Linked DNA regions of Styela clava. The protein of the gene in region 2 binds, or shares a complex with, the protein of the main gene of each other region. Links are inferred from orthologs where the notes say so. Each region holds a gene or a part of one and is shown on either strand. Other genes may lie near its edges. The genes, in order: acylglycerol kinase, mitochondrial-like; mitochondrial import inner membrane translocase subunit Tim22-like; mitochondrial import inner membrane translocase subunit Tim9-like; mitochondrial import inner membrane translocase subunit Tim10-B-like.

Region 1 (8,870 bases), on a different chromosome or scaffold from region 2:
GTACCAAATATGACAACTTTTTACTTGTATCATGTACTCTTCTATCAATATTTAAGTTGAAGTTAGTGATAAACCGGACATATTCAGTCTCTATTCCACTGAAATGCAATAATTCAGGTCTAGGTCTATCAGTTCCGTCTTGCAACATAGATGCCATATTGCCCAATAAACTTTCCACATTTGGTGACGATTGATCATGCGTGTTTCGTTGTGGGATTTGTGCTTCTGTGTACGGAGGTTGATTTAATGGTTCATACCGATCCGGTATATTCACATTCACCGCTTCTCTCATATTAACAGTAGAAGCAGGTCTTCCAACATTTAATACAGGATTTCCCACTCTGACTCTAGATTGTGATAACAAATCTGATGCGGGCAATTTAGGTCTCACATCTGGAGGCTTCGATACCGGCACTCCTATTTCATTCACTGGTACTTCTTGGTTTTGATTAGGTGAATGTGAACGAGACATATTTTCATATAATGACATACCTTCACCTCCCTGCGAAGCATTTTCCCATACATGGGCTGCTATACAGGCTGATTCATAAGCATGCTGCAATTCCAAACGCTTTGTTCCACTTTGAGCATCCCCTTCGATTTGTCTAGCTCTTATTTCAGCCTTCATTCGGGCTTCCTGCTCTTGCTTTCTAGCATTTTCCATAGCTTCGCGTTCCAGCCTTCTAGCACTTTCTATAGCTTCACGTTCCAGCCTTTTAGCATTTTCTGTAGCTTCACGTTCCAGCCTTTCAGCTTCAATTTGGGCATCTAATTTCATTTTCTTTGCTGCCATTTTCGCATCAATTTCTCGCTTTTTTGCGGCATCTTTTTCTACTTGCTGTCAAATACTAGCATGAGCAAGTTCTCTAATGGCAATGGCTTCTGTACGTTTAGTACTCGAACTTGAACTGGCACACGAACGACGGGAACTTTTTCCAGAAATTATAGAACGTGCTTTAGGGCTATGTGTCGATGATTTAGGGCCATCAACGTCAGACTTTTGAACCAATCGCGTAAGTGCACATTGAATTCTTGAAACTCGCGCAGTTCACACTGGAAAAATTCACTGACATTTCTTCGATCTTCTTCAGAACGTAAAGTACTCACATGAATTTCATGAGCATTTGAATACTCTGTGAACCGTTTGTCAATGTCAGCACTTTTCAATTTCAACAAATCTAGATTTTGGTAGTCTGACATAAGTCTCTCAGCATCTTGATATAATTCCTTCATACGAGCACGTAACTCTTCTAAATTTGATTTCGAAACAGATTCTGCATCTATAATGTACAATTACAGTGCTCTTCAAACATGCAACAAAAGTTTAAATATTCAACAGTACGATGATTTCTTCAATTTTGACGATTTACTGAACTCCTGTCGGCATTCGACGATACTTTATTAATGCAATACCAAACGTTATATGCAAATTTTGATAACTTTATTTGCGGAAATTCGATAACTTTAATGTAACAGCCGTTCTTTGTGACCTGGACGACACCGACTGCACACTAGATATTGGTGACCGTACATTTGAACCCATGTACATTTGAACCCATGCGTATATTCACAGGTTCAATCTATATGCGGGTGCTAAAACCCATGGGTTAGGGTTAGTATGGGTTTAACTATCCGTGAAACAAAAAAAATTCTATAGGTGCAATAGCATACAGGTGCAATTGTCATGGGTTCAAATGTACGTGGGTTCAAATGTAATGGAACCTAGATATTTATTAACAGTTCAATAACGCGGTCTTTCAAGCTCCAAGTTCGTATCCTCACTCCAGAAAATCACACAACTCGAAGTATACAGTTGACACGGTTATCTTAATACAAACGTAAAAACAAATCAATACAAAATACTTGTAATAAATAAATAATCGTACACAATTCGGCCTTTAGAAAGCCTACTCAAATTTATGAACACATTTAACAAACATTTTGTTGTCTGCTATTCCAGGCTTAAATTATCATAAGTAGATTAAGAAATCATTCGTCCATGAAATCCGAACAAATCAATTAAATAAACTATAACTGTAAAAACAATCACAAAGGCAATCTAATGCTCATAAAATATCCCTAAACTAGGCCTATGTGGGGCAGCCATAATCTACATTATTTAATCGTCCTACTGTCAAAACAGAAAGTCAAGGTCGCTGAACAATTTTAACTTATTTACAAATTACAACGAAACGAGCGCCATTCTCCTATAAAAGTAAAGCGCTATCTAAAACAAATTACCGAAACTATCCCTGTCTAAGCGAGACATGTCTGGGCAAGCAATTGCCACGAAGACTCTCACAATTGTTTCGTAACAAAGTGTGTAGAAGCACACTGTCAATCAAGGGAAATTACGGCGTCAACAATAACAAATAAATTACTACACAAGTTAAACGGACGCAATGTTTAAGTCAAAACAAAAATAAAGTGAATGCGATTCTCGATGTAACAGCCTGTAGATGCGTGTTTTGTGTACTATTAAGTATATATATTTTGGACATAGTTTAATATGAAATATATTCTAGATTCAAAAATATTTTTCAGAGTGATTCAGTTTCGAAGAAGTAAACAATAAATATTTTGCCTTTGGCCGGAATCAGAAATTTTACTTGGTACTATATAAATTTTGGTTTTGTTTCAGTAGGCGAAACTTAGTGATTGAAAAAAATCACGCCATTGTTATGGACCTTTCCCCGACCTTTGACCCTCGAAAAATTCTTCCTATACTTTACCATTGCAAAATTTTCAGGGCTATTTTAAGAGTGCTTTTGCAAGTTGGCGCCTGTAAAATGGGGTATGTGTTTCAAACCATCATTATGATTCATCGCATACAACAAACTGTTTTTTAAAAGTACCGGTAAAGAATTTCAGGCTAGTCTATCACAGCTATTTCTACAATGAAAATTCTACAACAAACTCCTAGGAAGACAGCGTGATCATTGAATTATCTGATTTTTATTTAAGTTTCCGAAACACAACTGAAAACTAACGAATAGAGTTCAAAAACGCGAAAACGAGGTAATGTTTACAACCAGCCTTGAAAATCTGTCTGAGTGAGAAAAGGGGGCATTGTTACGTCACTCTTCGCATCTTGCTGATTGGCCAATGTCACGAAATAAACAAGGAAGTCGATACTCGGGGAAAGGTCCATTGTTTCTTTTTGAACAGCACTCAAAGCCTGTATTTGATGTTTATGGCCTTTTAACAAAGAACTGTCATCATCAAAAATGGAAGTTTCAAAACTCATTTTCAATAGGTATAATCCGAAAGTAAAAAAATGAATTTATTTCAGATTTAATAATAGAAATCCAAAATATTCAACAAGTAAGTCTACAACGAAGAATTTTTAGATACAAATGGCCCCAAAGTGATTTTATGTTACCAATGCAGAAAAATTTTTTAGGGGATTTTTTGAAAAAAGATCTAGAATACTTTGGTTGAACATTGATTTTACCCAACCAGAGGTCAGATCTCAGAGGCAGCGTTGCATGGAGGCAGTTAATTCTACTTGTGAACCACCAAGTTTTACTTTCCAAAAATACCATGATAGAGCTCTAGCGTCACATCATATATTCTAGCAGTTCTCAACCTTTTATGGTTCGTGACCCCTTTCCGGCGCTTTTTTGCACTCGTGGCCATTCGCCATTCCAAAAAACCAAACGTGTTGGATTGTATTAAGTTTTTATTACCTTTTATGGAATGCAAAAGCAAACCACGGACAAGAAAGTATAAGAGCTTTCTAGTATACAATGAGTGGGAATCGCTCGGGACTGTCTGACGACTTACAGATAAGTTGCGAGTCGCAACTTGCGACAAATGAACTAGCAGTGAAGAAGCTTTCTTTCTTAGTAATGGGTAAAAGTAGTGATATGCCACTTCAAAGCTGCATTCAAAAGCGGGCTTATCCTCCGGCAGAAACCCTAACTTGGCCAATGTTGCTTTATTGTCAATCTAACTCGCTTGGCAGCCAAGAATCCGATATCAACGCTTTTACCCGGTGATGATTTTTGTCACGGTGGTTTTGGAGTTTAGATGGACTTAATGATTCATTGCTCTTTACATACGAGCAATGCAAGTATTGAGGACATTCTCGGTCATCTCGACTTACTTTTGTAAAGCCAAAGTAACTGTCGTTCCATTTTCGTATTTTGGGATTTCCGTCTATAATACGATAGCGAAGGTTATCTCGCAGTCTAGTGAAATTACAGGTTAGACGGCTTACCAGCGAACTATATTGGTAGATTTCATATTCCATGGACCTTTCCCCGAGCATCGACTTCCTTGTTTACTTCGTGACATTGGCCAATCAGCAAGATGCAAAATGTGACGTAACAATGCCCCCTTTTCGCATCCGCTCAGACACTTTTCTCACTCAGACAGATTTTCAAGCGTGGTTGTAAACATTACCTCGTTTTCGCGTTTTTGAACTCTATTCGTTAGTTTTCAGTTGTGTTTCGGAAACTTAATAAAAAATCATATAATTCAATGATCACTCTGTCTTCCTAGGAGTTTTAATTTAATTGCAGTAATAAAAATTAGTGTAGAAATAGCTGTGATAGACTAGCCTGAAATTATCTACCGGTACTTTTAAAAAACAGATTGTTGTGTGCGATGAATCATAATGATGGTTTGAAACACATACCCCATTTTACAGGCGCCAACTCGCAAAAGCATTCCTAAAATAGCACTGAAAATTTTGCAATGGTAAAGTATAGGAAGAATTTTCCAGGGATCAAAGGTCGGGGAAAGGTCCATTATGCTCAAACAATTCACGCACAAGAAAGTGAATACATATCAACCTATTCAGGCAATTAAACTGCGGTGAACGCCGCAGAGAATTTTATTATAAAAGGAAAATATGCAAACGAAATCGTTTTAGGGTCAATTATTAGCATTGTGTCGTGACCCCCTTAGGGGGGCACCAGCCTCCGGTTGAGAACCACTGATCTATTATAAACTAAAGTACGGTAGGTAAATAAATATGAATAGGCGTAGCACAGTGAGACTAAATATGGCAACTGAGGTTTCAAAGTAGTTCAAGGATCAACAGCTAAGGGACCTCCTGCGGCAGTCGGCGTCAGGCCATGGTTTACTACTGATTGGTCAGGCATGGAGATGCCGTGTAACGTGTGCTGGAAATTGGGTTTTAGTGTAGTACCGTACTGGTACCTAGAGTACTTCTAGTGGGGGTGGCATGACCATTTTTGCATAGGCTATGGGTTTCTTTAAATTACGGTACGTTACTACAACGTCACAATCACGTCATGTTGCAGGTCGGTTTTGGCTCCAGCCGACCAAGTCCATGCTTCGATGCATGTCTGCATGTGGAACCAGTAACTGGCCAACTAATCCCATACCGGTACCTAACCCACATCGCGACATGGACCGGTACGGTACTGTAACCGGACGTCACACGTCAGGACGTGGGCCATGGTTCGCCATATTTTTGTTCCGGCTTTTTCCCCCTCAACGCGGTAACGTCACACCAGACCTGCAGACCGGGCACTGGTACGGTACCTACTTGCGGTAATTCGAAATTTATCTTACTTGTCAAAATTTATCGCAGTTTGGTCATCAGTTCTGCAAATAACTTACAGATTATGGTTGTAATTAGGTTTGCAAAAGCTGTGAAAAACAATCCAAAAAAGTCTATTGCTGGTGCAATCGTCTTAGCATGGTTCGGAAAATGGGCAGAAAAAAGATACATAGCGCATCTTTTCAGAAGGGCTGAATGTCAAACAGCTGTAAAGCTTGGACAAAAAAGTTTACATGAACTTCAAGACGCAAAGCGTGTCACAGTTCTTTTGAACCCTGCTGCGAATGGTGGAAAAGCAAATGCTTTGTATGAGAAGTATGCAGCCCCAATACTACATCTTGCTGGTTATGATGTGCATCTGGTGAAATTAAACTATGAGGGAGAAGCTAAAAAACTTATGTCTGTTGTCAACAATGACATTGATATGATTATTTGTGCTGGCGGCGATGGAACTCTAAGTGAAATTGTCACAGGTTTAATGCGACGACCAGATTCAAATTGGAAGAAGATTCCTATTGGAATTATTCCTCTCGGCAAGAAAAATACAATGTGTAAGAGATTGATTCAAAATGCGGATCATGATAAACAACCTCATTTTATTTGTAGCGCAGCATCTGCCATAACCAGAAGTATACAAACGCCTGTGGATGTTATGAAAATTGATGGTTCGACTGGGAAAACTGTGTATGCTGTTTCAAGTATCAGTTGGGGCACCTATAGTGATCTTCAGGATAGAATAAAAAAGTTTTGGTTTCTCGGCCCTCTGAAATCATACATACCATTTGTTTTGTCTTTATTGAAGTCTGACCCTACAAAGCCAAGAACATTTTCTATATCATACACAGACCCTGAGGTTGTTCCTATTTCCCTAGAAGAAAATTGTGTGGAAAACAGTTCTGGCCTTTCGGTGTCTTCCCTTCTCTCCAAAATCTTTTACAGGTTCTGGCCTTGGAAATCAAAATCAGAGCCACTCATTGAACAAACTGCTGAGTTAATTGAAGAAAATTGGAATGATTTACCCAAAACAAGCATTGAGTTTTTTGCTCAAGCGAATAAGCATTTGAATTCTGAGGGAAGAGAGAAAGCCTCGATACAAGTACAGCTCGAGTCTAATAATGTGTCGTACACTGATTTTGTTACACATGGCCCATTTATATTCCAAAAGGGTGATCACCCATTTGTTAACACTGACTCTGATTTTGAAGTGGATAAATTAAAGTTATCATCACAATTATCTGATAATTACGAGCAACACATTAGTATTGATAATGATAGATATGAAGCAATGGATTTATCTGTCCAATTAGTTCCCAATTGCATTAACATGATTTGTTCAAAATAAAAAGGTTTCTGCAACGAATTAACTGTCTATCTAATCCATTACCCAACATGGACTGGTAACCGCACAAGAGGCCATGGTTCGCCACATAATTAAGCCATCCTTTCCCCTGATTTTCCACTCCCTTGGATTGATTTATAATGTCATTAATAGTTTAAAATTCCTGGTATTGTAGATTTACAATGAGGATGTTCCCTTTTTTCAAAATACAATACAATGTGCAACCCGATTCTAATAAGTTAATGTCGAACATAGACTAAGGTGGTATTTCAGTCCGCCCTTCATACTGCCTTATGAGGACTTTTTAATTAAATTAGCTTCAAAACAGACTGCCTTAACTCTTTCTGCAAATTTTTGTACTGCTCTTTCCTATTGTTTCGCGTAAATGAAATTCTTTCCAAGTCCATATGCTCCAAGTTAAAAACTCATGCTTTGGCATACTCTTTGATTTGGTATTGCCTGTTCCAGAACAATTTAACATAAAATGAATAGTACGGTTTTGAATCGAACATATAGTCTGCTTGAAAAGCGGGATAAAACTTTCAGTTTAAATTGTTCAGAATAAAATTATCCAATATTCCAAATACAGTCTCAATTACTGTTCACAAATACATTTTAAATTTGGCCATGTTTGATGAATATATATTTTTGTGAGAATTCCACTCATAAACCACCAAGTTTTACTTTTCAAACATACCATAATATAAATATCGAAAAATCAAATATTCACCATTTTCAAATTATAAATTCGTTCGAACATCCCAGTTCTCAACTGTTCTTCGTATAGGTAAATCGTTTGATTTTCAACAAAAAGTGCAGAGTTAAACAAATTTCCACTGACATTCTAAGAGCTATATTTAAGTAAAGGAGGTGGAAATATCAGTAGATAGTTGTTAATATTATACTTTAAATAATTCAACATTTTTTGTTTAATCGTTTTTTATTCTTCTCGAATGTTCAATTTTGTTACTACAATGAAACGCATAAGATCATATACCAGTATGGGGTATAAGAGATGTTTTGCTGTTAGTTTTTCATGTTCAGATTAAACGATCAAAACACTGATTTCTGTTTTTCGATCAGTATACGCTTCACTACAGGTAGATTTTATTTCGGTACACCGATGAACGCTCAGGTAGTTATAAGATTTCCAGTGAGTGAGTATGTCAATCGTTACAAGTTCCTGAAAAGTGACATCGACAGCATTCTTATTTGTTGCTGGTTCAGAAGGGTCATTTCAAAGCGCGATATCATAAATAAAATTCAATCTTGGCCCATCGGCCGTCTCCACTTGCACGTGATTAATACCTTAGTCGTGGATATCGTTCTTCCAGTCGAGATCGTTCCTCATCAAAGTAGTACTCATCAACTGATGCACAACATCCAACCTCAAATTTTGATAATACTGTATGTAGCAGTGTTTGAACTTTTGCAGTATTTGGCATGATAACATCCTTAAATGTAACATAAACTTTCCCGAAATATCATTTAATGATTCCGTAATGAAATATTTTGGCTTCTTCGAAATATACTGGTTGTTCTCCTATTTACTGGAGAGTTTTCCGAAAAGCCTATTTCAAGTATAATAATCATCATGATTGCTTTGGAATTAATCAAAATTAGAAGTAGGCTATATCTAGTTCAGAAGGGTCACTTCAAAGCGCTATATCATGAATAAAATTCAACCTTGGCCCATCGGCTCCGTCTCCACTTTGCACGGGATCCATACCTTATTCGTGGATATCGTTCATCATCAAAGTATGTATGTATGTATGTTTATTCGTCTCGTAAAAGCAATATAAAAGAGTAAGTACTTATAAATACTGAAGACGGGATGTATGCACAAGACCATATTGGCCTAAAACACAGATGTGCGGCATACACCCCTTTGATTTATATAAATTATAATAGGGTAAATCAAATATGTACAATATGGTCCTTTATACAGGCAGTTGTGCGAGGAGGGTGGGTGGATGCGATAACAGGGATATGGGT
Region 2 (8,177 bases):
GTAACTATATACTACTAGGTTTCAACAAGTAATTTGCAACTGATAGTGACTAATGAAGTTACTAGCTCATCTGACATTGTATGAATGGCTACTTATGGCTTTTTTGTTACACATTTCACATTTTTTTGAACATGTTTGTTTGACTTTTGTATGAATTATGCAATGAATTAAATTTTGAAATACGCGCGTCAACTGATCATAATGGCGCATAATGTTGTATTCCTTCAGAACTGAAATATTTTGTTGGTAAGAAGACAAATCGCTGAAATTTGATTCTTTTCAATAAAAAAATGAAAACGCTGTCATTCATCTAAAAAACGTCTGTTTTCGGTGCCTAGTTTTCGTTTTGTGACATTATTAAGCTTCCCTAATATACGGCTGATATCTAAAATACTGCAGTGTGTAATCCTAATACCCATACGTATACATAAGATACCGATATAATTCAATTGTTACGAAATAAACATCCTTAAACTGTGATAATGATGTAACAATAGACTGTATCTAAAACTCAAAAGGTACCAAATGAAGGGTTAAACTATTTATTTCACTCAAGTTCGGCGGGCCATTTTAAATCGTCACGCGAGCCGTAATTGGCCCGCAGACTGCGGTTTGGAACCCCTCATCTACACTGATGAATATGCCATAGGCGTTATATTTGAATACAATTATACTTGATTTGGAATTACAGTGTGGAATCTCACCTCAAAATTAGGGGGGGGTGTTTGAAATTTTAGGGGGGGTGTAGGGAAATCACTGGATTGGATTTATTCTGCAAGTCATGATGATACAATTTTTATTTAATAAGTTTGTTTGATTTCATCTGTCTGATGAATATGCCATAGGCGTTATATTTGAATACAATTATACTTGATTTGGAATTACAGTGTGGAATCTCACCTCAAAATTAGGGGGGGTGTTTGAAATTTTAGGGGGGGTGTTCACCCCCTATAGGGGGGGTGTAGGGAAATCACTGGATTGGATTTATTCAGCAAGTCATGATGATACAATTTTTATTCAATAAGTTTGTTTGATTTCATCTGCTTTTCAACTCGGCAAACAAGGTGTCGCTGACACGATGACTTACTTCATAGTCTTTCGCGGCCCCGCGTCAATATTGTATGTTTAGTTTATATTTTTATTATTATGTTTGTTTAATTTTGTGTGTACAATATTTCAAGCACGACGAAATAAATATCTGAATCAGCCCCTCGACGTCGTTGTGAATAAGCCTCGAAATTGAACTGTTGAACTTGACTAATGTGTATGTATACTGTACTTTCATCTATCGGTACATATCTCGAAAAAAATTGGATGATACTGAACATATGGCTTTACTATATTGCTACCAGGTCTTCATAAATATAAAGTGGGCATTGAGAATGAAGCATACAGTTATCTTTCATAAGATCCATTCTGCAACTCCCATTCAGTCAGTTTTTGCCAGTGCGTTGAGGTTAAGGATTAATAAGTTAATAAGTAACAGAGACAATTCGTCATAGAAGAAACTATTATTCAGTTAATCAACGGAGGAGAACCAGCCATCCAAACTCAAAATTCTTTCCATTGTGGTTTTCAGAAACCATTCTGCCAGCAGCACATGACCACTCAATCTCAGTTTTCATGCAGCAACATACCTCTTTTTGAGACAGATTTACATATATCATTGTAACAGTGTCATGAATGACGATGCAAAAGGTAATAATCTATAAGGAATGAAAATGCCGCAAATCCAAGTCCACCAAATAATCCTGCTTGAATTCCACCTCGTAAGCCAAGAAGACCACCGGTGATAAACCCAGCAGCAGGTGTATTTTTTGGGTCAGATTTTCCGCGATACTGAAATAAAACATGAATCTTTAAATTCCCACTAAATTCCAAGTGGTTTTCATGTAAGAGCAACATTCGATTGTCATTGAATATACCATAATCCAGTCCATGCATCTGAAACAAACAACTGGTAACCATTCCCATACCAGACTGGTAACCAGTAGATCTTGACTCACCACTCGATTAAGTCCAGTGGTGGGATTCAAATTATTTGTCAGCCAGTTTCATCACAAAAGTCATATTTTTCAGTCGGTTCAGTTAAAAACAGAACATTGACAATAACCAGTAATGCTAACCGGTTTGTGATCTCATAAAATTCTGTGAGACGGTTCTATAGAAACGGTGCGAACCGGCTGAATCCCACTACTGATTAAGTCATCATATCAGCCTTCCTCCATATGGAGATAAATACAAAAATTATATCTCCCAAACTTGCAGAGAATGTTCCTAACATTCAAATTCAAATTCAATATCGGATGTAACCGCATATGCAAGGGCAATTTGACTTGACTAGGAGTTCTCAATATTATTGAGTTGTGACTCAACAACAAGATCATATCGTAATACAAAAATAAAGCAGACCTAACATCTATTTTTCATGACAAATCAATCACTATACCGTTTCCAAAGCACATTCAGTTGCAGAAAACATTGCTCCAACAAAAGCAAATGTTTTTCCAGATGAATGCATCCTAGTCCTCATTTCACGTATCGTTTCTCGCACAGTGGGAATTTTAGATGGATCAGTGACAGGCGATTCCACTCCATACATGAATAAACCAAGCACTGCTCCAAGGCCATAACCTGAAAAAAAGATTTGCATGCATTAATGACAGCAGTATGAGAATGGTACAGCTAGAAAACGACAAAAAAAACTTTTTAACAATCAAATTTCTATGGGGCCATACAGTTCGAAATTTGTTGAAAAGAGATATGAATGACTCAAGTTTAAAGCATAATTTTCAATCAGACATGGATATTATGAACTAGATGACCTGTTGAAACAACTATGGTATGATCCAGGGTATTGCATGACATAATGAATAATTTTACCTCCTCCACAGGTTAAAACACTTTTGAATACGCAGCTCTCCATGGTAGCGGATACAACTTTATCGGTTGTAGTAATTTTAGGTAAAAGGCTGAAGTTTGACTCTCTGTCCAGGAAAGGGAATGGCTCTGTTCTTGGTCTTTTGTAAACATTTGTCATGTGCTCCAAGATTGCAGTATATGAAATATGGGGTCTTTGTAATAATAAAGGCTGGTCTTTTCCTTTGGGATCATCTGTTGGTAGCATGCCGAATACAAAGTTGAGCAATGTCAGGACTATTTAAACATTTATATAACGAGGCCAACCATCTACGTAATACAAAGGATAACATGGTGTTATACAAGATGAAACAATTACTTAAACATGATTGATATGACATTGCAAAAGTATACTTGTACCAGAGGAAAGCAGGAATTGAATTTTCTCATGAGATAATGGAATGGCAATATGAATTACAAAAACATAGAAATTACAAAAACAAAAGAACTATCAAAGAGCAGAAGCACAATTGATATTACAACACAGTAAATAAAATTGTAGGCAAGCAAAATAAGCATAGAAAAATAAGATTTATGAATCAGGTAATATACATCTAATGAGCCATATCAGATATTTTTCGAAAAAAAAATCTTGCTGCAATGATTTCAGTTTGAATAATTATAAATATACTATTAATGAAATATTTTAGCAAACTCAATAGAAACATACTGCAAAAGTAAACTTGAATGAAGGAATTGAAGCAAAACAAAAATATATTCATCACAAAACAACAAGGCAGATGGAATGTTATTAGTACGTAAGAACCTCTAATTTTATGATATTATTCAATTAACAAATTAGGCTTCATCTTTTTTTTCTTCAGTAGGTTTTTCTTCATCCACTTGTTTTCCATCTTGAGCACCTGCTACCTCCTCAACCTTGCTCCCATTTTTTGGAGCCTCCTCCTTCTTGTCCTCATTTTCTTCCACTTTATCACCCGAACCATTCTTTTCCTCTTTTTCTTCCACTTTATCACCAGAACCATTTTTCTCTCCTTCACTCTCGGCCTTTTTTGTTTCAGGAACCTCTTCCACTTTTTTTTTTTCTTGTAGCAATTTTTCCTCCCAGTCTGAAAAGTATCTGTCACGCATCCGATCAGTGTATTCACCAAGGTTCTTAAGATCATCCTTCATCAACTTTTCCTGTTCGCTTTCGGGCATTGTGAAGCGGAACTGAGCCAACAATCCAAACAAACTTGCATCAATTTCAGTAGGATTTTCACCCATGAAAAATTGTTTATCACCAAGGTAATCAGACAACGCTTTCAAATCATTGGCAGAAATTTCATGAATCTCTTTTACAGAGTGGCGTCCCATTCCATGACCATTCAGATTAGACTTAACATTTGGTTTGAGGATCATGGCTCCCGCAATTGGCATAATCTTTTTGTAAAAGCCTGTGACAGGAATTATTTTTGAAAATGATGAATAATTTTCCACCCAACGATAATGCACCATTGTCCAGTACAGGTTTTCCTCAATCAATCTTTTGAAAGCTAAAGATATTGATTTTTCCTGCAGATTCAGAGAAGCATCTAGGTCTTTTTCATACTTTTTATTCAAATATGGAATAATGAAATTGGTATCACCAAGATCTTTTCCATCAATCTTAACAAATGGTATTTTTCCCTTTGGAGATTTTTTTAAAGAAACTTCTTCTTTATAAGGGATTTCGGTCATCCTCAAATAGGTTTCCAGTTTCAAAACAAAGCTTGAAAGTGATGGTGCAACACGACTTGGCCCAGTATGACAGAAAACTACGCCATCGTCAGAAGAAGCAGCAGTAGTTGTGGCCGGCATATTTTATTTTTTAATTGATGTAATACAAAACAATTCACCTCAAAAAAACTCAATCAATAACTGAAATGATGAAGAAAATTACATCACTACTGAGTTATATCTAATACAGTAGTTTTTGACTTTTGTACTAGTGGTACTGTACTTAATATTTTTGGGTCTTGTGTATTTCTTACCTCAAGTACTTCTAGTAGGCGAAGCATAACAATTTTTGCACATGTCAACCCTAACCCCCGTTTGACTGAGCCATCCAAAAATTATGTCACTATGATGAATCACAGAATCATGTCATAGAGCTCGCCAAAGTATACCTTCCAACCTACGACCGCCCGAAATGGCATCTGCGCCGACGATAAAGAACTCACTAATGGCAGCAATCTGTTTCATATCGAGATGGATCATTGCAATGAGAAAAATAGCTTGATTTCAGGTGATCGTCTGCGTGTCTTGGATGACAGTTTGTAGGCTATACGATTTATTTAGGGGCCGTTCCGGTAATTAAAGGAACCCATTTGTATACTTTGAAGGGCCTTATTATGCAGTTATGTCACCGTGATGCATTAGTGACGTAATTTTTGGAAGACAATTTGGATGAGGTGAGGTTAGGATTGACATATGCAAAAATTGTTATGCTACACCCACTAAAAGTAGCCTACTGGGCCGTGTTCACAACATGATGTAAGTACATGAAGTAGCCTATGACATTGAACAATACTTACAGACTTATGTATATACAGATGTAAGTCAAGATTGTGTCCTTCTTCTTAGCTCCACCAATGGCATACCGGTAGCACTAGATATATATGTATATACAGATTGCACCTGTACCAGTATATAGACTACCGGTAGGCATAGAATAAATGTGGCACTATCAGACTACCGTTCACTTCAGGCCAATCACTTTTGGCATGGAATGGACAGAGACAAATTCATGCGAATAGGCTATTTCAAATTCCCGCCTGTCAGCAGTACCGTACTGCCGTAACCATGCAGTTTTGTCAACAGGATATCATTTCGACAAGACGATCCAAAACTGCGCTTGGCGACCCAACCCCTCTCGGTACCATGTTAACATAATACCGGCACCACGAACATGCGGATTGCGTTGACTATGGATGTTTCCTCAACCCTTGATCCCTGAAAGTTTCTCCATATTATATACTTAATTGCAACATTTTCAACGCTAATTTTGAGATTGTTTTGGAAAGTTGGCGCTTACAAACTGTCTCACATATTAAAAACAATCTTTTTATTCAAAACAATAAACCACGTGCTGCTTACAGCTGTACAGGTACGGCACCGACAGCTTATTTTAGGCTAGTTTGCGGCAGCCCTTTTTGATTATTGCACCTAACTAAAGACATAATGACAACTAAGTTATTTGATTTACAATTATATTTGAAAACATAACTAAAAACTGACAAATAACACACGAAACTAACAGAAAGAGTGAATGTAGTTTTGTGACCCCTAAATTAAATGATTGGTGTAACATCCATTGAGCTTTCATTAAGCCATTTTGTGCCTTCACCTAGCTTTATAAAGCTTCTTCAGTTCTTGTGCCAATATCATCCCCTCGGGTTAAAGATTTAGAGAAGGAACGTTTTTATGCGAATTGGGCCGACATATCTTAGTATAACTCATAATACTGTGAAAGCTTCGGCAACACATTTCTCCAATTGGCTGAATGAAATTTTTGTAGTTACTACAAAAGAAAGTTACTACCCTATTTACACCTCCAACTTATACCTAATGAAAATTTCAAGTGCATAATTTATCGAATGCAAGTTCGGCATTGTGGCATATATTTTCAAAGAGTATATAGATTATCATCTCAATATTCAAGGATTTTCACTGTAACTGTGACTTGTGAATGGGCCAGATTCGAACGCTATCAAAATCGAAATGGATAATTGCACAACAACAAAGGCATGCTGTATAGTCCAGTGGTCGGTGGTTCCCAACCTTTCTATCCTGGCGGACCGGTAAAATTGTATATAATGTACCAGCAAAAAATGAAATTAGTGGAACATATAATAATAACATATATTTGCGTAATGTCGAGCACTCAATATACAAAAAAATAACCCAAGTAAAATGGCACCAGAACGACCGGCTGGGGAGGGTAATGCTGAGGTGGCAATACCTTCAGTATTTGCATTTGTTATTATTAATATTATCTGCCTGCTATACTCGTTCTGTTGGATATAATATACAAAGATTATTTCCTTATTCCCAATAAATGGTCCACATTCCTTGAAGACCAAAATATAGGATATTCAATAGCCTTGTTGAACGAATTTTCCGAGTTGCAAACAGAAATTCTTCAGCTGTGTGAAACACAAGCAGGAAGTGTCACAGACTGGGAAGTTGGCTTGAAATCGTGGTGGCTTCGACTACAGCGCCACAGTATATTCAAACTGTCCGTACTTGAGGTTTGTAGGAGTGAGCACTACCGTGGAACATGAGCCCAAATGCAGTTTCACACAGGCAGGACTCCAGACTGTCATATAAGCAGGGATGGCCACAACTGAATACTTGACTCTTTCGAATACAGTCTAAAAAAATATTTTCGAATTTGGAATTACGAATACATTCTAAAATCCCCCACATTTTATTTACTTTTCTTAATTCCAGGGACATGGGAATTAAATTTTAATAAATATTGTATTATCATTGTAAAGCGGCCGTGAATAGAAATGACATGTGTGATATTGAAATTAGTGATATTCTTGCTTTTAAGAAAAGAGACTTAATAAACATCGCAGTATTTATATATACTTATGAATTGTGGTGTATCTTGACTAGAAAAAAAAAGAGCAACTAGGCGGCTAGTGAAGTGTTTTAAATCATATAGTAAAATCAAAGTTATTATTAATAACACACACACTTTTGAGACGACTGATACTTGTTATAAATTCTGACTGTTTATTGACTGCGCGAGTGTCATTTAGTCTAGTGGTTCCTAACCCCCGGTCCGCAGACCGGTGCCGGATCGCGGGAATTTTCATTTTGTTGTTTTTCTACCGTCTCAATCGCCTTACCGAAGCCGAAAATACGAAGTTACGTTAGTTTATTACGCAATTTCTCTTCCGCCGCCGTATTGCTCTTTGATACGTGCGGTATGGACCGGCGACGTCGTGATCACCGGCGCCGAGTGATCACACTTTTCGGTTCCGATTCATCAAGTCCATGCTTCTGAAAACAAACAATATAACTAATCCCATACCCGACTTGGAATGGTAACCGGACGAGTGGCCGTGGTTCGCCATATGGATAAGCCGTCTTATCGGCTTTCCTCTCCCCCGGGATAAATATGTAAATCCTATCCCATCGCGAAAGCGCTCCGTCAAATCTCGCAAGATTCAGAAACCTGTAAATCAGCATGCGTGCTTTTTCCGTTCTGCATACTTTTCTTGATTAATATTACCATCCAAATGGAAGTTTATGGATATTTCCTT
Region 3 (7,336 bases), on a different chromosome or scaffold from region 2:
GCTGGAATAACCATATACTTATAAAAACCAGTCTTCGTACATCTGATGAGGTCGATAGCTCCATTTTCTCTCCCAACTGCTAACAATTTTTGTGAAGCAGTACCTTCAGACGATTCATAACTAGCGATGCATTGTATAGTGCATGGAGTGTACTCGAACAACTGGCATCGATGAACAGCAAATTCACCCATTTATATAGACTTAATTCTAACTGAAACATAAGGAATGGGATAAGAATTATAAATTATAAACAAAAATACCTACGGTAATAATAAACTAAGCATATAATTTATGCGTTCATGTATATCCAATCCATCTATATTTCAGTGGGGCACAATTCTCTGATTCTAAGATGTCGCAAAATTTGGTTACCTATTTGTGTCTGAAACGAGAGCGTCTGGCACAACGGCAGATGCGTCAGATCGCACTAAGCTTGTCTCAGTAATAATTTAAATCAATACCAATATGAGTCTGCCGTCAAGTGACCAAAACGCTACAGTAAAATTTTTTTCCTCCTGTAAATTAGATTATGGAATCCTATGGTGACGTTTTTAGACTGCGCTTTTTTTTAGTTTATTGCGCAGTGCCAGATTGCAGTTTTGCAAGTGCAGTTTCAAGTATTTTGAGGCGTCTAGAGCTGCCGCAAAACCATGGCGGGATTTCCAAACCATGGCCGCTATGACCAAACCTACGGCCCTGACTTTTTAGCTGCCACAAACCAATAGCGGGCTGCCGTTGTTACGGCAGCAAATCGAATACCACCAATTTTGCTGCCGTTACCACGGCATGTCGGCTGTAAAAGCAGGGCTGCCCCTTATGGAGATAAATATTGGGTAAGTTGGAACGCTTTTCTTATGAATACAGTTTTGATGTATTTGGGGTTAGGTTTAAGTAAATATAATTCTGCATGATAAACTAAAATATTGTACATGACTTTGTAAATATACCGGTAATCGTGCGATAAAACCATGGCAAGAGACGCCGCGGTACGTTCGTGGCAGGAGCTGTCATGAAGTGCTGAAGTGGTAAGAACTGCGCCTCCCAGCCTCCCGTTTTGAGTCCATATGAAGGCCGACTCCAGGGGTCGGCAACCTTTTGTCGCCCGCGGGCCAAAATTAAGGGTTGCAGCTGCAAGTCATTGGCGCACCGGACATATTTCTATAAAGTTGAAAACCGAACGAATGATACTTTTTATAGTAAAAATCAAGCAGTGATACATCTCTCGAATAGAATATAGATTTTATTTCCTCTTTGCATTGCATCTCAAAAAGTTCCATTTGAATATTTTCAGCGCCATGGAACCCTTTGCGCTTAGCATCAACATTTCTGCGTTTTGTTGCCATTTGTCTAATTACAATTAAATTATAGTTAAACGAGTAATTGTGAATTTTATACTCGTTAGATTATAATATAATTTAGTCTACACGTGTCTCACAATGAATTCTGTTACTCAAAGAATAATCGTCAAAACAGCTGTTTTGTTACTATAATTCAGTGACCAGTCGCGGATTATACTACTCCGTAGGTTGCCGACCCCTGGCCTACACCAGTACACTGTCTCGTAAAGGAGGGAGGGGTTTGCACTCACTGTTATTATTGATGTCTTTTAATGTGGGGGCGTGGGGGCTATTCTTGGAATCAGAGAACTGTATTTGATAGTGTTGAAATTATCACAACAGCATACAGTCAATCAATTATTAATTAAGTAGTATAATATGTAATTTAAAAAAAAACGTATTAATAGATTAATATTATGTGTATAATTCTTCATAATTTTTCTGTCTGGCATTATTTAGTTCCCTTCCAGCTGAATACTGGAATATTTCTTTCAATAAAATCAAAAACTAATCAAAATATTCACGATTCATATATAACTTGCGTGACTGACAAATTTAGATTCTATTTCACACACGGCAATACGCATAGTTCATTTCCAGCAATACTACTTACGGTTTCATTTTACTGTTGAAAATCCCTCTCAATTTTCACTGGAAACATACTGACATACGACAATACAATCTCTTACCATGCTGATTTGCCAAACAGTCGTTGAGTTACACAGTGACATGCAAGCTCATCGATGGAAATAAGACTGGCAAAATTAGGAATACGCTAAATATGAAAATCTTTTCCTTACTCGCCGCGCTGACTTGCTTCATCGCGGGTCCGCTGTGTAGCACAGCTCATTAGGAACAGCGGGTTGCGTTTACAAACAGCAAGGACGCATGGAATGGCGCATTATCAACGAGGTCGCATTAGGCTGACACACTATTAAGTTCATCCATAACAACAATTCATTCATCCATATTACTATTATTGGTAATGGATAGGATTTACACATTTATCCCGGGGAAGAGGAAAGCCGATAATTTATAAAAAATCGTTCCATATAGAATTATTAGATTGAATAGGCTTACGGCTATTGTATAAGATCGGTTTCATTCCATCTTCTGATAAGGAGCTTCACGACTTACCCGTAGCCTTTGCCCGTAGCAAAGCTCTAAACAAGTTTTGTCGCTTGATTGTGACATCGCCCAAACTTGATGAGACGTAGAATTACACTGCTGATATATTTTGCCGAGTACTTTTTTGATTTAAGGAACAGCGCATTGGGAACAATTCTGACAATTCATTCCCCCATTTTAATACACTGTTTTCGTGGTATATATATATGACTTGATTTTTATTTGAGTAATCTGTACCAGGCTCTGAACGAGCAGTCGCTGGTATGCAGACAACTATTGTGCCTCCTGTGAAGAAAAAAAATCTTTCATTTAGCTTAGGACTTATAAAATTGAATACAGCTGTCGGACAAGAATATTATCATCTTCTAATCGCGTGTTCAATAACTTCTCTTCGAACAAGGCTCTATCACAAACAAGGAGGTACTATGTTATAAGAAGAATCCAATTTTTTCAATTTATATATTTCATCGGTGTCAGCCTTGGTGACCTTACCGGTCTTGTATACTGGCCCTCACAAATAATGATAACCAATTATTACTGAATTATTATTTTTTTGTTTCTGTTGCTTCAAATGTTTCAAGTGTTGACATTATTTGGGAAATAAAATCTCTATCCATATGAACATATTTGTCATGTGAGAAGAATAGTATCACACTTTTTATGAAATTCTTTTGAAGAACAAGAAGTTTTTTCTTTTTTGTGGTTTTATTTATTTGATGAACAAAAGGACCGCGCCATTGAGCAAGAATATTACCCCATCTTCCTTTTAATTTATTGTAATTAATTGATTGTAACGGTGTGATAACTATGACAATGACTAAAATAGTGGATACGGCAACATTAACTGAGGACAATATAGTGTGTCATAATATCTTGAAAATCTAGTCCGAGCAACATAGGCAAAGACATACTTACATTTTTGTGAAATGACAGTATTCATATATATATATGATGATCATATCCGTATATACTATTGTTTAATTTAATTATCGCCATAACCAGTGGCGTAACAAGACTCTCGTTCCCCAATATGCCATTACGTGAATATTTAAAAACGTTGCGCATGGGAATTGTCATATCTTGTTACATTACAAATTCTTATTTAATCTTAATTCTTATTTAAGTAAAATGTATAGTAATAGCATTTGTAGCATCCGCTGACAGTTGAATATCAATTCCATATATTCTTCTTCATGCTACCTCATGTCCGTTTCGTGACTCCTTGTTGGTATTTCTTCAGTGCTGGTTCATTGCTATCAAAACAAACGAATACGGATTACAGAGTTCGAGGATACAAAACTTCATATAGGATGTAAAACATACAAAGTTAACAAATATGGAAATCCGATCCTAAGATAACTATTCTGAGTTATTCGAAAGTCTTGTTACACACTGAAACAAATAACTCAATTTTTTTTTGTTAATTCGAAAATCTCTGCGGCAAGTCTGATGATCTTTCACGGCACACTAGTGTATAGAACCGTAAATATATACTACTAGATAGAACCACTGATTATCACGATAACCCGCTTTTGTTTTTAGATGTTAGATGCGCAGCACTTGGAGATATTAGCTAGCTAGCGTCTTGCTGATGTCTGATATCGACCTTGGCGTGCAGCCATGTGGGGGCACTATAGATCAGAGCGCGGCGAATTTCATCTTGTGGAGAAGCATGATGTAGCTTAGCGTTGCAGTGTGCGTAGTAGTAGGATGTTGGTATGGTCCTTGTTTTGTATGTGACGCTATTTTAATTTGCATCCACTTTATTTTAAATACGGTACATAGTTTTTTGTTTTCTCTATTTAAATCCCATTTCCCGCAATATATATATCAATAGTAGAGTAAAAATCCAAATAAATATGAAATTCATACCATTACCATGATGTCAGTAATTTACGGTAATATAAACCATATATGTCCAAAAATGAGTTAATCCACGTATTTAAAATAAAATTATTCGATTCCAAAATAATGATACGAAAATTCCGTTTGGCATTAGAACTTATTTGGCAAAAAAAAAATAATAATTTGCATCTACAAAAACCGCATGCTGCAGACAAGGTACAGATATACATGGTAAATTTATGTAATATAAGTTACCCGTCATATACATGCACCAGGCCAGGGGTATTTTATGTAATTAGGCCTATTGCCCAAATTACCATACGTTACGTTGATTTGGCTGTTTGTGTCGACACACCATCAACTTCATTGTCAATTTTTGTATTTGTAACTCACGTTTTTTACATGAAACGCCTCAGGAGGCTTTTACTGCTGCTCATTGAGTTTCTTTTTACTATTTATAAATATATAATTTGTGTTACTTTTGGTGAACGAGCATGTGCATTGCGTATTATAAACTTTGTTCTCTAGTTTTCCGAGCATATTTGTTTTGTTTGTTACAGCCATTGCCCCACTATACAGCTATACGGCTTATCCGCCTAACCCCTATTTTTATTTTCTTACTCAGATTTATGTATTGGTGCAACTGTAGTGCAGTGCATTAGAGTAAACGAAACAATGGCTGGGGTTCAGGGCATGTCTCAACTGGTTGGACCAGATCAAATGAAACAACTTAAGGAATTTTTAAACACATACAACAAAATAACTGAACAATGTTTTGCGGACTGTGTCAATGATTTTGGCAGTAGGAATGTTTTGTCAAAAGAAAGCACATGTATTTCAAACTGTTTGCAGAAGTATTTGAAAACAACTTCACGTATTGGACAAAGATTTGAGGAACATTTTATAGAGCAAAATGAAGCACTCGCTGCACAAGCAGGGTTTCTAAAGAAGCCTGGCACATGATTATAGCATATATATTGCTGTTTAAATTTCAAATGTGTTAATACATTAATATGAGGTTTTAAATATAGGAAAATGACTAGCGATCGGAATAGGAAATTGTATGTGATTGGATTGAATAAAAATATAATTTTTATGAAATAATTTAAAACATTTTGGGACTAAAGTTTTCTGTTTTATATTGGTATATTTTGAGAGTATATTTCTTGAATTATACATTCATCATCAACACTATTGTTGACACTATTGTGTTCCTCTATTGATATCATGGTTGATTAGTTAAATTGTATTTCAAACAAATCTTTCAAAGTGTCAATGCTATCTGGAGAGAAACTTTTGTGACTTCACTGTGCTCTTCTCAATTGATCAGCTAAGCTGAGTAGCAGTCGTGCTAACAAATGTGGGAATTGCAAATTAAGTATCTATTGTTCTAATTGCTACAATCCATATGAAGTTCCACATCCATGAAATGTATTATGACATTTGTGTTAGATTAGAATGCATAAGGGAGAAAATTTATATACAAAATGTTGCATTCTTGTTGACGTTGATTTTGTGTGTGTCATATTTTGGAGTAACATGTTATATAAATAGGATTTAAACATAGTTACCTACAAAACATTAATTACTTATTTTAGGATTTTGACTTTCTTTCAACCCATTATACTGTGTTAGAAATTATCCAGCTGATTCACAATGCCTTCATCGTTCTGATTGGTTTTCAATTTTTTCAGAATGTTTTATTTGTCATGTTTTACAAATCTTGGCTTCTAAATATCTGTAATCATAGATTTACATGCAAAACTTATCAACGATGTCGTAGATTTTCTATTTCATCTCACCTCTGGAATGTCCGTGTTAGATTTGCACCCTCACCAACAGGTTTCTTTATTTTTAATTGATTTAATATGAACATTACAGTAGATGAATGATGTTTTAGTGATGTTGTGGGTGACTGGAGAGGCAAAAGCTATCGAAAAAATATATGATTATGGTGGCATATTATCTATTAATAAATAACCAACCAAGTCGAGACTTAGCCTGGCGGTGGGCGCCTCGTAGCATGCATTAGGATTATGATTGCCGTTGCAACTTTGAGCCCTGTGCAGGTTTGCAATTTCGATCCCTATGTGGTATAATTATGTGAGAGAGGATTGCTTGACTCCGTAGGGTGGTTCACATGACCGCTGGTCAATTCAATGCATCTGAAACAAAAAATAGTTGCCATTAAGCCATCGGCTTTCCTCTTCTCGAGATTAATATGAAAATCCTATCCCACTCAATATTGTATATATAAATTGTATATCAATATTGTATTATATAAATAATTATTATTCAGGTTTTCTGCATATCGGTGGACTGAGAACTGCTTTACTCAATTACTTATTTGTGAAATCCCAAAAAGGTGAATATTTCTTAGCAATATCTTAATGATTCACCATGTTGTAAATACTAAATAGTAATACTATTTATCACTGAACTAATTGTAAATCATATCTTTAACATTTTTCTAGGTGGTGGTCAGTTTATCATCAGGATTGAAGATACTGATCAATCAAGAATTGTGCCTGGTGTCGTAGAAAATTTATTAAATCAATTAAAATGGGCTGGAATAACACCAGATGAAGGACCAGGAATTGGGGGAGACTTCGGACCTTATGTACAAAGTGAAAGATTGGATATATATGAAAAGTATGTTATGCTAAGCTGAACATTTACTTTAATTGGCGACTACTGTGCTTCAAACAAATTATAATATTTTGATTCATAACAATGCACAATTTCCAGACCGGTTTACCAGTCTTTCAAAAGTTTTGTTGAAAATGATTTGGTTTTCCATCTTCAAATGCATTCATTGCCCATGACATGTTTATGAGGAATTTCATGAATATGAAATTTTCCCTATATCGGTCTTCATCTATAGTCAAGTTATATAGAAAATATCTTAGTAAATAATTACTATGTAACAGTTTTCATAATTGAAATTTTCTAATCTTTTCTTTCCAACATTCAGGTACGCAAATCAACTTTTAGACAATGGAATTGCGTATAAATGTTTTTGCAGT
Region 4 (8,232 bases), on a different chromosome or scaffold from region 2:
GTTCCAGATGTCATTTAGAGTATTAAGATTGGATTCTCTCAAATATTATTTGAAAAAGCGTCTCCGAATCTTTTCTTTAATCATGAATAATGGTGAAACATTCAATCAAAGTGACCAGAATATATTCACACCACCATCTGGTGTGAGAGGAATGGTTGAATTAGACAGGTATGAGATATTGAATGTCTTGTAATGCGTTTTCAAATGTTTCGTAAAAAAACAGAACTACTTAAACTGGCATGTTCATTTGCTATTACTTTGAATGATGGAGATTGTGGACTAAATAACCCCAAGTATATTTTTATCCTTTTGCAATTCATTTATTTATTCTGGAAGCTCTCCTTACATTTTTAATGAATTTTCCGCCATAACAGGTCCGCATTTAAAAAGGAAGTAGATGTCAACACGATACTAGTACCTTTTTCTTCACTCAATAAGTTCCAGAAGAAATTTAAAGAAGACATTCTTAAGAGGAGAGGAGCAAATTTATTGTCTGCAGAAAATTGTGAAGCTCAAAAAAATGCTAAATTTGTTGTAATGAAACAAGACTTCAATTTCAAATCTCTTCCAGAATTCAAACAACAACTTTTAAACGATTTACAAATTGAATCAAGATTTTACACTAACAAGTTGGAAATAAGGTTATTATATCTTTGAGCAATGATATTTTGTTATAACTTCTTATCTAATAAACAATAAGTTTACTCAAGCGTTATACTGTGCTAGACCATCTAGACCATTGATTTATTTTGGCGTGTGGTATTTAATTTTGTTATCAATTGCTATAAATAATATTAAGTTATTTGATCTTATTTAAAATCATATTCAAAAGTCTTAAATCTCTGTGTAAACGGATCTCATTTATTAAATCAAGAACCTTCTTTGTATTTCGAATATCACACAATTTCAATATTAATGATTCCTGACATTTTCTGAATTCAAATAAATATAGATACTGTATTAAGTAAGGTAGGATTTTCTTTTTTATCCTGATTTAGAGAGAAGCTAATAAGATGGCTTAATGATATAGTCAACCACGGCTGCATAGTGAACCCCAGTTGCCAGTGCATGCTGTGTATGAAAATAGTTAACTTGTCTCAGATGCAAAGACTTAAATTGTACCAAAATAGAAAGAACCTCACAAAACAAAGCCATATGGAATGACTTTTATTGTGCAATGAACTTAAAATTGACTGTATGCATATCATTGAAACATATGCCTTGTTTACCTGTTGGTAAATATATTTTCAATATATTACAGGTATGATGTATACAAGCACCAAGAAATTATTGGTGCAGTATTACCTGAAGGACTAGATTCAACATCGGGTTTTGAACGAGTCGGTCATATCATTCATGTCAATTTATTAGAACATCAAATGCCATACAAGAAATTAATTGGTCAGGTTAGTTATATCTTGGATTGAAGTTTGTTATTAGTTTGATATATCGAGCAACGGTTACTATTTTGACAATCTCATGCAAATGTTAACCAGCTTAATTTTCTGAAATGGTTTGATGAAGATTATTAATTGACTGCTTTTACCATATTTAAACTCATATTTTTCTCTCCATTCAAAGCTCATAAATGTTGATTATGGTTCTTTCTGGAATTTTTCAAAATGGTTTTTAAATCACTTTGTAACATTATGCCTCCGACAATATTCAAGTTTAACATGAATATATGTGCAACTACAGATGTTGCATCTGCCCTAGATCAATTGAGTGAATTATTGTGAGTTGTGACTGTACTTTGATAAATTATTTCAGAAGGGTTTAATAATTAGGAATAATTCTCATTCTAACTCGCAAATGTGATTGTTATCAAAACCTTATTTTCAGGTACTTCTTGACAAACACAAAGCAATCACAACTGTCGTGAATAAATCTTCAACTATTGACAATACATACAGAAATTTCCTAATGGAGGTTATTGCCGGTGAAGCAAATTTTGTTACCAAAATAATTGAATATGGCAATATTTTCGAATTCGATTTTTCAAAGGTTTGTTGTTAGTAATGATGCAGAATTTATTAGTACTGTAGTTTTCTATTCACATACGAGTATCTAAACTCTGGAGCCCTTTTTCATTCAGGTTTTCTGGAATTCAAAGTTGCAAACTGAGCATCAGAGAATAGTGGAGTTGATTCCAAAGGAATCTGTTGTCTTTGATGTATTTGCAGGAGTTGGACCTTTCTCCATACCACTTGCCAAAAAAGGTATTAAGGTAAACTACCAATCAAAGAACTCGCTGATAGTACTACCCAAAGGGTTTAAATTCGACAATTTTTCGTTATCACTTTTACAAAATATTTTTATGTATTTGCTATTTTGTTGACTTTTGTAAGTTGTATCATGCTGTCGTTTTGGAAATGGCATGAATATAAATTATAATGATCTTGTTTTCCATTATTAAATTTTCGTACTTCAAAAATGGGATATGCAAAATTATTAAAATTCATCCACCACTGTAATACATTTCAGAATAAAGAAAAAGTTTCAAGCTACGACCCTATATGCTGAGAGTGAACATGTTCCTCAAATAACATTTCAAGTTTGTTAGATTCTCTATTTAAATGGTTTTGTAGCAGTTTTCCCCTCCATTTTACTGAAATCAAGTTTTTTTTTTTATGAGTTTATGAAAATGAATTTGATTATGGCAACAGGTTGTGAAGTATATGCAAATGACTTAAATGAAGAATCATACAAATGGCTTTTACACAATTCAAAACTAAATAAAGCGAAATTGAATGCATTCAATATGGATGGCAGAAAGTTTATCAAAGAATGCTTGGGAAAACATTTGCAGTAAGTATTAGGTATCTTACCACTAGTATTCAATACCCCAGGGATGGTGACTGAAAATGAATTAACCCATCTATCTTATCAATTGCATTTTAACTTTTATAGATTGTCATCAAAAACAGAGACAATATGTGTTATAATGAATCTACCGGCACTGGCAATAGAATTTTTAGATGCATTCACAGGATTGGTCAAGAATATTAAGTATGCAACATTGATAAGGAACGGTTTAGCAATCGGAATGTTTAATTTAATTCAATAATATTTTATCATTTAGTCGAGCTGAAGACAACAAGACATCAAGTTCATTACCTCCAGTGACTGTTTATTGTTATGCTTTTTCATCTGCTCAAGATTTAAAAGGTATGATTCCTATATAATTAAGGCTTTTTGTCAAATTTAAGACTTTCTGACACAATCTTTTGCACTACTACTATTCTTAAATATGTATTTATTTTAGGTGATATTAAAGAGAGAGCAGAACAAAGCCTCAGTGAAAATCTTCCTGAACATAGTATTCGGGAAGTCAGAAAAGTTGCACCAGGAAAATACATGCTTTGTTTATCTTTTGAAATTCCTTTTTCTCTTTTATATGAACAATCAAAAAATGGTGATACTGATGAATCGGAATGTAAAAGAATAAAACTATCATAGTTCGTATTTTTGTATGTTGAATTTGGAAAAGGCAATCATGCACACATTTTATATCGATAAATACACTGAGCTGCTCATATTTTCATATTTAAATTTGAGGGAAGGCAATCCTGATAAAATGCAGTATTTTATATCCATGTGTTTTCTACTGCCTTATAACCACACTGGACTGCAGCTATATGGATTGCAGAGGCCTTGTGTGTGTACACTGTCTGTAAACTAGCGTGTCTTACATCTATGCAGTTTGAAAAGGATAATAACATACATGTTTGATGACGATTTCAGATGAACTTTAGGCTTGATGAGTAACAGTGGTTGGCGGTGAAGTCGTGGATGTCTCTGATGCGAATGGTTTTCACAGTCCAGTGAGATTTTTTTCCGGGAAAGCCAGGGACAATAATTTAGTTTCAACTCTGACATGTGACAAATGGTAGAAATTAAATTCTGAATATGATCAAATTTAGATTAACAGAGAATGAGTTTTGAAATTAATATCGTATCTTGTTAAGTTAATGCAGTTACTTGAATCTGTCTTCTGACCAGTGACTGGAGGCGAATGTTTTGAACAAAAATCGGTTTGGAACCAGGATGTTCAGATGCCCAATTTTGAATCGAGTATAAATTTTGTGTGCTTGGTTTGTTGGTAGTTGAGATCGTACGCTATCCACCAATTTCCTAACTTAATTCTAAATTATGTCCTCCATCTAGGTTACTCTGCAATTTAGTTATCTGTTTTCGCCTACAATATTGTCTTTTATCGCTTTAGAGGACCCGAATTAGGCGACAAATTTTAACAAAAATAACACGTCGTTAGACGAGAAACTTCAAATGTACAGGTTAGCAATGCAATTTGTATATGTCGCGGAATTGTTTCGAATATTTTCGAGTCTAGTCATCAAAAAGTTTAAATCTGTAAAACAAAAATCAGGCTTTCCTGAGACGTGGGTGCACCAGCCCAGAGATGCCATGTGCTATTTATAATAATTTATTGGTTTACGCTGGCGCACACGACAACGATTGCGCAACAAGTTTTGGTACAAATTCAGTAGATTCAGCCAGATTGTAGATTGAATCGTGGCAATTGTAGGAAGCACTGACTTGAAAATAGTTCAATTTATATTCAAAATAGTATAAATATTCAAGTTTCTCTAAAAAATTTGTTCAAATTGTTTTTGAATTTAATCATTGTTTTTTGGTTTAAATCATTGTTTATCCCAAAATTGATATACCCGTTGCCATCTGGCATCTATGGAATTGTATAGTAATTTTGCGAAATTTATTATTCCATTTCAGTCTCGCAGATTCGCACGTGTGTTGCTTCTATAGTCCATTTCGCAGTTACACTTCTGTTTTCGGTGATTTTCTCCATATTTAGATTTGCTGCAACTATCCTACTCAAGGACCAATTTTCATAGGTCTACTGTGATCGTCCAAATACAAGAGATACTCATGACGCCATAGGTATTCATATGGCAGTATTGCCCAGGTGCCGTCTGGCCTTGGTGAGTTATTAACCCTCAGAATTCGGGTTTAGTACGGTATAGTTTTGTACCACAAGTACTTCCGGTGGGCGTAGCATAACGAATTTTGCATATGCTATTCCTAACCCCCACCTGACTATGTCATCCAAAAATTACGTCACTACGACGTCACCCTCACGTCATAGGGATTGCCAAAGTATAATTACGATCGCCCGAAATGACATCTGCGCCGCCGATAACGAACTTGCTAAAGCCGGCGATCTCTCTCCTATAGTGACCGTTGTGACGGGAAAATGAGAGAAATTGCTTGCTCGATTTCGGGTGATGGTCTGTGCGTTTTGGACGAGCATCCGCATACTTCGGTGGGCCTTATTACGCCACTGTGACGTCGAAATGACGTAATATTTCGGTGACGTAGTCAGGTGGGGGTTAGGATTGACATATGCAAAAATTGTTGAGCCAGGTCAACTAGAAGTACATGTGGTACTGAACTATACCAGACGCCAGAATTCAATCACAGATGGGCTTAGTGCATGAAAGCTGTAATAGAGTTTTTATTTTATCTGTTAACTTATGCAGTATATCGAGGTACAGTTGGTGTTGCCTAGTATATTTTAGAGGCGTTCATGTCTGGGTTTGGGGCTTCATTTCCATCTCTGAAAAAGGAGCATAGGTATTGAGGCTAAGAGCTTTATTCGAATACCGTATGTCACATACTATCATTTATTACCAGAACTTTGTCTTTCAATGTAAATGCAATCTGATTTTCACTTTACTATATCAGTATATGTTAATATATGCGATATGCATATATTATTAGGCCAAGAGACGTTGAAAAAAAACTTCCTATGCCTATATACCGTTAAAATGCTGAATCAAATTATTACTGTTTTCTGCTCAAATTTTACATTGTCACAGGTGTTCCAAACAACAGAACAAACTTTTTTTTCTGCATTCTAGTCTAATTCATTTTTTAAATAGTGTATTTGTGCTCTTCAATATTTACAAACAATGAATGTAGCTCCTGAACAACAATTGGCTGCTGAGCTTGAAGTTGAAATGATGACTGATATGTACAATAGGTAAGATATTTATTATTTAACACCTATACTTCAACACGGTATGCAGCTAATCCTAGTCACGCCTTTTATGCAATCGATGCAATATTTGAATTTATTTGTGTTTTTATAGATGACATTTGGACTAAATTCACTAAAAATATAATGACTTTTTTTAACCAGAATGTCATCGGCATGTCAGAAGAAATGTATCAGTACCAGCTACTACGAAGCAGAACTACAAAAAGGGGAATCTGTTTGCTTGGATCGTTGCATCGCCAAATATTTTGAGATTCATGAAACAATTGGCAAAAAATTAACAGAAGCTTCACAAGTAGAAGATGAAACAATGAAGAAAATGCAACAACAACCTAATTGATAAAAACAGCCTATAATGTGATAAGCTGTGTAACTTTACAAACAGATAATATTCTTGGTGCAAGACACATGCAATTATTCAACAAGGAGTTATATGAGATTGCACATGTTGTTTGATAAAACTGCATAACGGCATTTCTCATATATGTATTTTGGTTTGTGCGTATAAAGACAGTTTAGGAATCTATAGTTCTGGATATCGAAAGCAAGGCTTTTTGGCAGGTTTTCGCCAACAAAGGTAAAGCTTCTATGAAATCAAGTTACACTGTTTAATAAAGCGTAATTAAAAGTAGGATCTTGAATATCATTTTGTTAACCAGCCTATTATTTATTTACAATAAATTTGTTTCTTTGATAATACAGCGCATCAGCGATGTAAGTTATAGAAAATATTTGGATAACCACAGAGTCGCCCATAACTTATTGCACAACATTGCAAGTCTAAGCGGTGATGTAGGAACGGTTGTCATGAAATTAGATTGTGCATTTCCAGTTGGCCAGTGTTCTGTGTGTGTGGTATTTTTGTGCAAATTAGCCATTCTAATATGTTGTTCAAACTTTTTGTATTGTTTTAATATTTATTAAAATTGAACCTAAATGTTATTATGGAGGTATTCATTTGGCACTTATGTTCCACTTTCACACAGTGTAAATAAGTTATATGTCAAAAGGTATATACAAATAACATATGAAAAATAATTGAACATAAATAGGTAATGACAGATCACGGTCAATATAATAATGTATGAATAATGCAAGTTTAGCAATGCTTTAAAACTGGGATTCTCTTTTTTCTCTCTCTTCCCACTTTGTTAATATCATGTCCTGTAAAAAATTAAAAAATAGACAAAGTAAATGTTTGAGCCTTTCACATAAGTTATTGCTCACCTTATTGGGTTTCTTATCCAATAAGTACTTTCACACCGCTGAATTTCCAAATTGGTTATTACAGTTTACTCAATTTTCATGGTTTGTTGGGCGCTCCAGAAGTGTATGTACCGATATGGAGCCAACTAATTTTGTTTGCCCACTTTACATCAAGTTGTATAAAAGGACTGATGAAACCTATGGGCAGGGGGTATATTTACTTGGCTAACACAGACAGTCCCCAAATTCGTAATATTCAACCGGAACGCTTGAGGAAAATCGGAACAAAATTATGGCCTGACCCTAATCCCTGGTTCCTGTACTACGGGAATATTGATTGTTCTGCATACAGTCTATAGAATTCATATTTGCAGAGTGGTTCATATTTTATGACTGCCACTTGTGACTTCACCATACATGTCTATGTATCTGAACCCAGACTAAGATATCATTTCCCCTCTTACAGGATAATATGAAATCCTATTCTAACCTTTCTTGTTGTCAGCTCTGCACTGTTTACTCTCCATCTGTTATATGTTGCATTTACTGATGCTACTTTTGACCCTGGACTTGAAGTTGCTTTCCTTATTCCTGGCTTCACTCCTGCTCTTATACACATTGCCCTGTGCTTTTCGTGTGACCTTTCCTCTCGCAACACTAAAGCCCTGTGCTAAAAATTGTTACAAGACCAGATAAACCTCAACTGCTGTCACGTCTTTTGATAGCCCGGAATCTATATAGACGAGACACAATGAAATCGTATCGAACGCGCCTGCATATACATACATATATAACTAACTTATTTCTGTACGACATGCACTTAACAAGATTTAAAATATGATGAAGAAATTCACCTGTTGCCCAAGTTGTAGTTGCATCGATTTTCCAATATTTTGTAGATCTGTTATAGTTTTCTCCTTGAGCCTTAGTTGCAATGATTTATCTTCTAATTTTTCAGTAAGTATTGCACAATTGGAGCACTAAAACAT

Evidence for each region.
Region 1: mitochondrial import inner membrane translocase subunit Tim22-like (region 2) and acylglycerol kinase, mitochondrial-like share a complex: the UniProt entries of both Homo sapiens proteins name them as parts of the TIM22 complex. The link is inferred for Styela clava from reciprocal best matches to the Homo sapiens genes TIMM22 and AGK.
Region 3: the proteins of mitochondrial import inner membrane translocase subunit Tim22-like (region 2) and mitochondrial import inner membrane translocase subunit Tim9-like are in contact, whole or in part, in a cryo-EM structure (PDB 7CGP), measured with the Homo sapiens proteins. The link is inferred for Styela clava from reciprocal best matches to the Homo sapiens genes TIMM22 and TIMM9. Residues at the interface, in NP_037469.2 of Homo sapiens: Asp35, Arg37, Gln38, Pro39, Arg40, Leu42, Gly45, Ser46, Leu47, Gly49, Ile50, Ser52, Pro53, Lys60; in NP_001291414.1 of Homo sapiens: Gln13, Glu16, Phe17, Thr20, Leu57, Thr60, Gln61, Met65, Phe67, His71, Gln74, Asn75, Leu78, Lys81.
Region 4: the proteins of mitochondrial import inner membrane translocase subunit Tim22-like (region 2) and mitochondrial import inner membrane translocase subunit Tim10-B-like are in contact, whole or in part, in a cryo-EM structure (PDB 7CGP), measured with the Homo sapiens proteins. The link is inferred for Styela clava from reciprocal best matches to the Homo sapiens genes TIMM22 and TIMM10. Residues at the interface, in NP_037469.2 of Homo sapiens: Tyr25, Ser26, Leu28, Leu29, Gln30, Tyr31, Leu32, Val33, Arg40, Leu42, Leu47, Gly48, Glu67, Glu144, Ser145, Tyr146, Gly148, Ser150; in NP_036588.1 of Homo sapiens: Pro3, Ala6, Gln7, Leu9, Ala10, Ala11, Leu13, Glu14, Val15, Met17, Met18, Ala19, Tyr22, Ser44, Lys45, Gly46, Glu47, Arg53, His62, Glu63, Gly66, Leu69, Thr70, Ser73, Met74.

Annotation. Positions count from the first base shown.
Region 1 is NC_135253.1:878,262-887,131, reverse strand, and holds acylglycerol kinase, mitochondrial-like, read left to right. Parts: upstream 1-5,051; 5' UTR 5,052-5,600; coding exon 5,601-6,878; 3' UTR 6,879-7,940; downstream 7,941-8,870. UniProt on the Homo sapiens protein: Lipid kinase that can phosphorylate both monoacylglycerol and diacylglycerol to form lysophosphatidic acid (LPA) and phosphatidic acid (PA), respectively. Does not phosphorylate sphingosine. Phosphorylates ceramide.
Region 2 is NC_135252.1:2,511,457-2,519,633, reverse strand, and holds mitochondrial import inner membrane translocase subunit Tim22-like, read right to left. Parts: upstream 3,130-8,177; 5' UTR 3,128-3,129; coding exon 2,884-3,127; intron 2,635-2,883; coding exon 2,450-2,634; intron 1,840-2,449; coding exon 1,678-1,839; 3' UTR 1,322-1,677; downstream 1-1,321. Other genes in the region: failed axon connections homolog, read right to left, coding at 3,718-4,719. UniProt on the Homo sapiens protein: Essential core component of the TIM22 complex, a complex that mediates the import and insertion of multi-pass transmembrane proteins into the mitochondrial inner membrane. In the TIM22 complex, it constitutes the voltage-activated and signal-gated channel.
Region 3 is NC_135254.1:14,339,335-14,346,670, forward strand, and holds mitochondrial import inner membrane translocase subunit Tim9-like, read left to right. Parts: upstream 1-4,935; 5' UTR 4,936-4,985; coding exon 4,986-5,273; 3' UTR 5,274-5,878; downstream 5,879-7,336. Other genes in the region: U3 small nucleolar RNA-associated protein 4 homolog, read right to left, coding at 1-191; nondiscriminating glutamyl-tRNA synthetase EARS2, mitochondrial-like, read left to right, coding at 6,020-6,152, 6,610-6,675, 6,785-6,962, 7,285-7,336. UniProt on the Homo sapiens protein: Mitochondrial intermembrane chaperone that participates in the import and insertion of multi-pass transmembrane proteins into the mitochondrial inner membrane.
Region 4 is NC_135253.1:5,421,695-5,429,926, reverse strand, and holds mitochondrial import inner membrane translocase subunit Tim10-B-like, read left to right. Parts: upstream 1-5,846; 5' UTR 5,847-5,951; coding exon 5,952-6,022; intron 6,023-6,181; coding exon 6,182-6,377; 3' UTR 6,378-6,979; downstream 6,980-8,232. Other genes in the region: tRNA (guanine(37)-N(1))-methyltransferase-like, read left to right, coding at 8-168, 375-641, 1,262-1,406, 1,843-2,004, 2,096-2,219, 2,667-2,808, 2,911-3,009, 3,083-3,168 and 1 more; uncharacterized protein LOC120326221, read right to left, coding at 7,148-7,201, 7,734-7,913, 8,098-8,223.